3 linked regions of the Kluyveromyces lactis genome follow. The protein of the gene in region 3 binds, or shares a complex with, the protein of the main gene of each other region. Links are inferred from orthologs where the notes say so. Each region holds a gene or a part of one and is shown on either strand. Other genes may lie near its edges.

Region 1 (2,085 bases), on a different chromosome or scaffold from region 3:
ATTCGTTTCGGATAAAGAGGACGGAGTTGATAAAGAGGATATAAACAGCGACGAGAGGTTGTTCTGTGAGACGCAGGTGATATCGAATCTGAAGGAGCTGCATACGGTATTGCAGCGGAGGGAGAAATGGTATCAGATAGCAATGTTGTGCGAGGGACAGCATAGGCATCAGATTGCATTGGAACTACAAATAAAAGATGCGTATCAGATGCAGTTATTCGAAGATATAATCCTGAGAATCCGAGATGAGTACGAAATTTTCCAAGAGATGTACGATGGGTATTAGTGGTACTAATGTATCATTTTTTCCTAACGATAATGACCCCAGCTGTAACTTATTGAGATAGACACTAATTTTTGCACGTCTTCCATTGTATTATATTACATGCATATATATAGATGTTATAAGCCATTTAATAGAGTTGATGACTAACGATTGAAACATAAGGTCGATGGTTATCTTATTACTATTTACAGATATACAGTATGTTGTTTTCTTTTACCTTTTCTCATGCTCTGTACCAGAGTTCCTTTCTCTTTTTTCTTTCGGCTCTGGCCAATGCTCTCTTAGGATGCCATTGGCTCTTTATCGTCTCAAGAACTTGATTCATTTCTGTCTTTCTTTCCTTGGGTGGTTCAGAAACAATAGAGATGAACAACGGAGAACAGTTGAACTTCTTTGCTAAAGCTTTTCTAGAGTTTTTCACCGGGTCCTCCAGTCTTAGTCTTCTAATCTCAGCGATGTCTTCAGGCTTCAAATGGTAGGTCTTCTCACCCTTCTCATGTAACACTGGCGCTACCCTCGATATCTCTGCGTTACCTTGCGTTAGGTCATCTATAATGTCGTGCCTTGGATCAGTGGCCGGTAAGAAAGATTTTGGAATCGTTTCTGAGTTAGTAGAACCATGGATAGAGGATGGAGCTGGATCGTAATATAGACCTGCTGGAATCTTGGCTTTCAAATAACCTTTGTAATTGGAGGCAGATGATTTTGGATTGTAAATGGTAGCTGGTCCAACGATCTTAGGTAACTTACCTGATTTATCAATTATCTTTGAAAGATCCTTGGCCGCACGGGCGCTGGTCGAAAATAGTCTCACCATACTGTAGCGAATATGTCAAATGTAATTTCTACAGCGTAATTGGGGATTATAAGCCTGGTGTAAGGGTCTAAAACTTGTTATTTAAACTATCAATCACCATGTTTCGCACTGCAGACTCTAAATCTTTCAGTTTGATGCTTTCAAATTTTTCAGATAGAAATCCTGATGAGACAGACAGGATTAGTATGGGAAAACAGTTTATTTCGAGAAATATAGGATTATTCTAGTGGATATACCTACCTGAAGATGCTTCTATATAATATCGATTAGTACTATGAATGAGTGTGAGCTGACCTGTTAAAATAGGGCTTATATTGGCGATATTATGCAGCTTTTAGAAGTGCCAATTTGGACTATTCTGTATCTTTTGTCACGTGAAAGCCGGGTAATCCCAACATCAACATCAAATGTCGTTCCTATTCACAACAGGAAGAGCTGAAAGGCTATGAGATGGGACAAGAATAATGGCATAAACAGTCCTTGTGATACTTCATTAGCAGCTCTGTCTCATCAGGTTTTACGCCAGGTGGTAGGTTTACCAAGCAACAGAATTAGATGAATGCAGAACTTCAAGAATGGATTCAACAGAATACGGAATCAAGAGTGACAGAGAAGTTTGTTGAGACTTTAAGGCAGATTGCACGTATTCATAAGGATGTAAACAAGTTCATCGGGGGTGCTAAGGCTTTGGGGAAATTTAAGGGCAAAGATGAGTTTTTGAAGCAACTTTTTGAAAAATTACAGGCACATAAGCAGTCTCCAAAGCCAGAATCAGCGGCTGTTCCAGCAAGAACCATAAGGAAAAAATTTGTGGTTAAACTTCCGTTGGATGACAAGGAAGACGACGATGAAGATGAGCTTTCTACTGTGAAGGTACAAGTGAAACCAAAATTCAACAAGCCTTTGACTTTGAAACGTATTACGAAGCAAACTGCAGCAAAATTGAATGAGTTTTCAGAAAACACTGAACCAGTGGTCATGG
Region 2 (2,413 bases), on a different chromosome or scaffold from region 3:
AAAATCGGTATAGATTCACTTTGAATCGGAGTTGGTTCAGTGAAGTTATTTTCTATGAGGTTGTTTAACAATCTCTTATCGAATTGGAACCTTGTGATCAAGTCTTCAAAAGAACCGATGGGCAAAGGAACACTATTCCCTGAAACATTCCCTTGATAAGATTTACGTAACTTTAACGCATCTTGTTTCGTGATAATTTTCCCGGATAACTCAGTCTCGTCATCAGCATGATCTTCGTCTTCTTCTTGATTATCTTCTTGTACTTCGTCTTCACCTTCACCTTTGGTTGACTCAGACTTTACCTTATTCATGATTTTCTTATTACGGAAAAAATCCAACTCCTTAGTCAATTGTTGTTCATCTCTAGCTGGTGTACTTGAGCTGCCAGCTGTCTTACTCTTCTTTTCATTAGCCATGCTAAAGTCTGCAGACTGTGTTCTATTAGAATCACCATTCTTCCTTATGCTAGCTCCACGAGTCAAGACTCTAAAGATATCCATGTTAATTAGCGGTGCTAGTATTGGCCTGTGAGAAGTTACTTAGTAATGAGAATAAATTCGATAGTAAACCACTGTGAGTGATATAATCAATCTCTTACTACTCTCTCATCTCATCTCATCTCATCTCATCGCCTACATCTAATTGCAGTTTTTTCAATTAAAATTGATCTTACTGAAGCGTTTCTTTTCACAAAACTTAGGGTACAATAAGTGTAAAAATCGATATAAAAGTACTTCTCAAGGCATAAAGATGCAGCAAAGCTTACTTTAAGATACAGCTGGTATTAAGCCCTCATAATACCAGCCCATAATGACCATATTCCCTTGATAACAGTACCTAATGCCTTGATATTGCATGTATTCCCATCATACAAGATAGCACTTAGACACAGCGATGACCTCGTTTGGAGTGATCTGAAAAATTTTGAAAAATTTCAAAATTTGGATCGCTGCCTCGAGTCGAAAAACTACAAAGAAACAGTTTGAATCGTAGTTAAAAGGACTAAACTGTTAGAATTAAGATTCAATAATTCTAATATTTGTGTCCTGTGTAATTACAATCTGTTGATATTCGGTCGAGGAAGATTGAATTGTGAAAATACCAGACAGAAACCATTCAGACAGTATTTTTTTACTTCTGGAATAATGTCCTTAACCAAAATTGGTCTTAACTTAAGCACAAAATTCGGCGTGCGTAATGGTTCTTATCTACACGTTGGGACTAGGGTACGTGGTTTGAAAAGAGACCCAGTTGAGTCTTTGAAGAATCCACACGGTTTGCACTATGATTCTCTTGTCAAGGATGGCCATGTATCTACTGTTAAGCAAGGTTTGAATTTGGAAAAATATGGTATTGACTTGCCAGACGACATCATTACACAATGTTTGACTCACAAGTCGTTTGCCCAAGGTATTAAACCATACAATCAGAAATTGTCTATTATCGGTGGTCATTTTGTGAAATATCAAGCTTGTCTTCATTCCTTGGGTCTACCTGTTTCTGAAAGGCAACTATCACAAAGCGTACAGTCTGAACCTGTTATTAACGGACTAAATTTCGGTATGCTTGGGAAGGGAAGTTCTAAAATGTTAATATCCAAACAGAGTACGGCTGAATTTTTGCAAAGGAGAAACCTAGATAAATTAGTGTTTTGGAACAAACGAGACACTCAAAAAAGTCACAAATATAACGGTGAGTATACCGTGCTACAAACTGTGCTAAATTCTGTGGTCGGCAGTGTCTATCTATTGCACGGTCAAGACAAGGCCACCGAATACGTGTTGCATGAACTATTCAGCGACAATAGTGATTCCCTAACGAAGATATCTGAAAGTTTGTTAGCAAACAGGGATACGACCGAGAAGTTATAATATTATGTCTAATTTTACACGACAGGAAAGAAAGAGAAATGGAATACACAATAGACTTCGACATCAATAAAAAGCACTCGAGTGAATGGTCTCCATCGGAGTTGGGAAAGAGCTTTCAAAACTTGTATATATATATTTCGAAACGGAAGTTTCAATCACAGCTCTTGGTCAATGTGGTGTTTTAATCTACTCTTTCATCCCTGCTCAATTTCAACGTTTTATTATAATGAATTTACCAAAAGCATGAAAAGCATAACCTTTTAACGACACTCCATCGTCACACTTCAATTAAAAATGAACCTCGAAAGAAACGCGCGCACTGTATATATCTCATGTATCTCTAGAAATATAGACGTACATAAATTTACAACTAAATCTATCATTAATTAAATGTTAACATACAAAATAAAAACAGATTAAGAAAAGTACATAATACAATACATGTATATAAATACATATATAACTTCATAGAAGGGATGTTTTTTGCTGGTAATTTACTTGGAAAGCTTAGCATTTAAATACTCAATGTTGGTCTTAAGACT
Region 3 (2,482 bases):
AGGGGAACTTGAGAATGTCACTCTTAGCACTAGAATCTACCTCACTACAAAATGAATTGCATTTAAGAAACGATACACCTTTGAACAGACCTGATTGGCAATTGGTGATCCATAAAATGGCTAGGAAAATATTAAAAGAAAGAACTGTTAATAACCTTGTAGAATGCCGTTCCATAAATTATGATCTATTAGCCCATTGTATTCCTGCCAAAACCATAGTCCATGAATTAACGACGCAATTGCTTTCAGATGCCCAGTCAGATCCGTTGAAGTTGGCAATTATCGATACTGCATGCACTTTTGATCACCGTCTCAACCTTGGAAACAAAGCAATCTACCATTTAGAAGGGTTCATTGCAAGGACAATGTGTGAAATAGATAAATATACGTAAGTATTAACTTTTGTAGTTTGACAAACAACCAAACTTTACTCATTTGGGACTTTAAATCTTGAATCTTTGATAGCCTATTTACAGATAGTGGGATTAGCTCTCACAAAAGTTATACGTAAAAGAGTCGTTTATATACACACATCGATCTATTTCAACGAGCCCTGAACATTCTATATTCCGGTTGCTGGGACTTCAACTTTGTAATATATTCCTTTGTAGGTTTCTTCTTTAGTTCTTCAAAGTAATTGATCTTTGGATCGTCCTTTGGATCTTTTACACTCTTGATACCTACTCTTACCAGAGAATCTTTCGATATGAATTCGTATAGGCCAGGAAGCTTGGTTGCTGCCTTTCTAAACGCCTCACGTGCTACTTTCTCGTGTAGATTGTCACCTGCCATCTCAAAGATCACTTTACCGGTGGGTACTCTGACCATCCAATGGTCAAATCCACCCTTACCTTTACCCATTCTGGTCTCATTACCCTTGATACAAACAGCAATGTTTGTACACAAACGACGCCATAATTGACCGTTATTCAAAGGTCTAACGTATCTCATAATAGCATTATCGGCTTCCTTCAACTGTAACGCAGTAAGTCTCACACCTTCAGACTTCAATCTTAAACCAAATTGACCAAATTGAAGCGAATTACCCTTAGTAGAGCCACCGGTACGCACTGGCACACGACCCTTTTGCTTCTTAGTCTGGTTCTTGAAACGTGGAGCATATTCATGTGTAAAACGCCTAGCGGTTACTTGCAGACTTTCTAATGGATTTAGTGAGCGAAATCCAGTCTTGAAAACGCTGGAAAACATGGTGATCTAATTTACGATAAAGGAGGCTCACTGATCTGAAATAAGATCCTTGCAATGAGGCGCGAGGGACTGTTTTATGCTGCTTTTCAAATCAATTTCTATGCTCTGGATCTTCTTTTACTTACTCTTAAAGCTTTTCATTATTGAAAAATTTTTGGTGAAGTTGAAGATATCTTGAAATCATGTGACCTTCTACATACATTCAAAAGAAGATACAAAAGTCTCGTTAAACAACACTTGATATACCTGTTCTGGTGATTTCAGGCAGTGAAATATCACTAGTAATATCATTGCTAAGGGATTACCTTTGTTTTGTTGATTGAATTGCCCCAGTTTTACTGTTATTAAGGGTTCTTTAATACCGAAACGATGTCGAATAGGACGATATTGTCAACTTTGAGACCATGTTTAAGGTTGTTTAGCACCTCCAATGTGGCATTACAGACACTTTCTGTGAATGGAAAGACGTACCCAGTATCAGATAAGACGAATGTAACTAGTTCGATTTTGAATTTGACTGATCGCGCTGTTTATTTGAAACCATCACACCCTGTTGGGATCTTAAGAAGTGTTATCGAGGACAAGCTGAACGACCCTCATCACTCATTCGAGATCTATAACGATTTCAAACCTGCGGTTACGGTACATGAGAATTTTGATTCTTTGGGATTCCCAGAAGATCACCCCGGTAGATCGAAATCTGATACCTATTACTTGAACGATTGTCATCTGTTAAGAACGCATACATCTGCCCATGAGTTGGAATGTTTCAAGAATATCAATGGGTTTGTTCCTGGCCATGTGGGTAAGACTGATAAGCCTGGATTTTTAATCTCTGCCGATGTCTATAGAAGAGATGAGATTGACAGGACTCATTATCCGGTGTTCCATCAAATGGAAGGTGGTAGAGTTTGGAAAAGGGAACCGGATAACCAACATTTATTAAAGATTAAAGAAGATCTCGAGAGATTGGAGAAAACTTTGGCAGACGACCCAGTGAAACTTGTCGTGGAAGATAACGTTTCCTTGGAAGGTAATCCAAAGCAGGAATACATGACGATGGAAGAAGTCGATTTATGTTCTCGCCATTTGAAAAGATCTTTGGAGCTTGTTGTATTGGAAGTCTTCAAGAGAAAGTTGGCAAGTATGGGTAACGTGAAGGGAGAAGAGTTGAAGGTTAGATGGATTCAAGCTTATTTCCCATGGACTGCACCATCATGGGAAATTGAAGTGTTCTGGCAAAACAATTGGCTTGAGCTCTGCGGTTGCGGTC

Evidence for each region.
Region 1: MRPL16 (region 3) and MRPL20 share a complex: the UniProt entries of both Saccharomyces cerevisiae proteins name them as parts of the mitochondrial large ribosomal subunit. The link is inferred for Kluyveromyces lactis from reciprocal best matches to the Saccharomyces cerevisiae genes MRPL16 and MRPL20.
Region 2: MRPL16 (region 3) and MRPL15 share a complex: the UniProt entries of both Saccharomyces cerevisiae proteins name them as parts of the mitochondrial large ribosomal subunit. The link is inferred for Kluyveromyces lactis from reciprocal best matches to the Saccharomyces cerevisiae genes MRPL16 and MRPL15.

The regions. Positions count from the first base shown.
Region 1 is NC_006037.1:691,624-693,708, reverse strand, and holds MRPL20 (mitochondrial 54S ribosomal protein mL58), read right to left. Parts: upstream 1,104-2,085; coding exon 510-1,103; downstream 1-509. Other genes in the region: KLLA0_A07777g (uncharacterized protein), read left to right, coding at 1-286; DEAH-box RNA helicase PRP16, read left to right, coding at 1,659-2,085. UniProt on the Saccharomyces cerevisiae protein: Component of the mitochondrial ribosome (mitoribosome), a dedicated translation machinery responsible for the synthesis of mitochondrial genome-encoded proteins, including at least some of the essential transmembrane subunits of the mitochondrial respiratory chain.
Region 2 is NC_006039.1:1,528,028-1,530,440, reverse strand, and holds MRPL15 (mitochondrial 54S ribosomal protein mL57), read left to right. Parts: upstream 1-1,145; coding exon 1,146-1,871; downstream 1,872-2,413. Other genes in the region: RNA-dependent ATPase ROK1, read right to left, coding at 1-500; KLLA0_C17380g (uncharacterized protein), read right to left, coding at 2,366-2,413. UniProt on the Saccharomyces cerevisiae protein: Component of the mitochondrial ribosome (mitoribosome), a dedicated translation machinery responsible for the synthesis of mitochondrial genome-encoded proteins, including at least some of the essential transmembrane subunits of the mitochondrial respiratory chain.
Region 3 is NC_006038.1:1,064,718-1,067,199, reverse strand, and holds MRPL16 (mitochondrial 54S ribosomal protein uL16m), read right to left. Parts: upstream 1,210-2,482; coding exon 544-1,209; downstream 1-543. Other genes in the region: RFC5 (replication factor C subunit 5), read left to right, coding at 1-392; MSF1 (phenylalanine--tRNA ligase), read left to right, coding at 1,579-2,482. UniProt on the Saccharomyces cerevisiae protein: Component of the mitochondrial ribosome (mitoribosome), a dedicated translation machinery responsible for the synthesis of mitochondrial genome-encoded proteins, including at least some of the essential transmembrane subunits of the mitochondrial respiratory chain.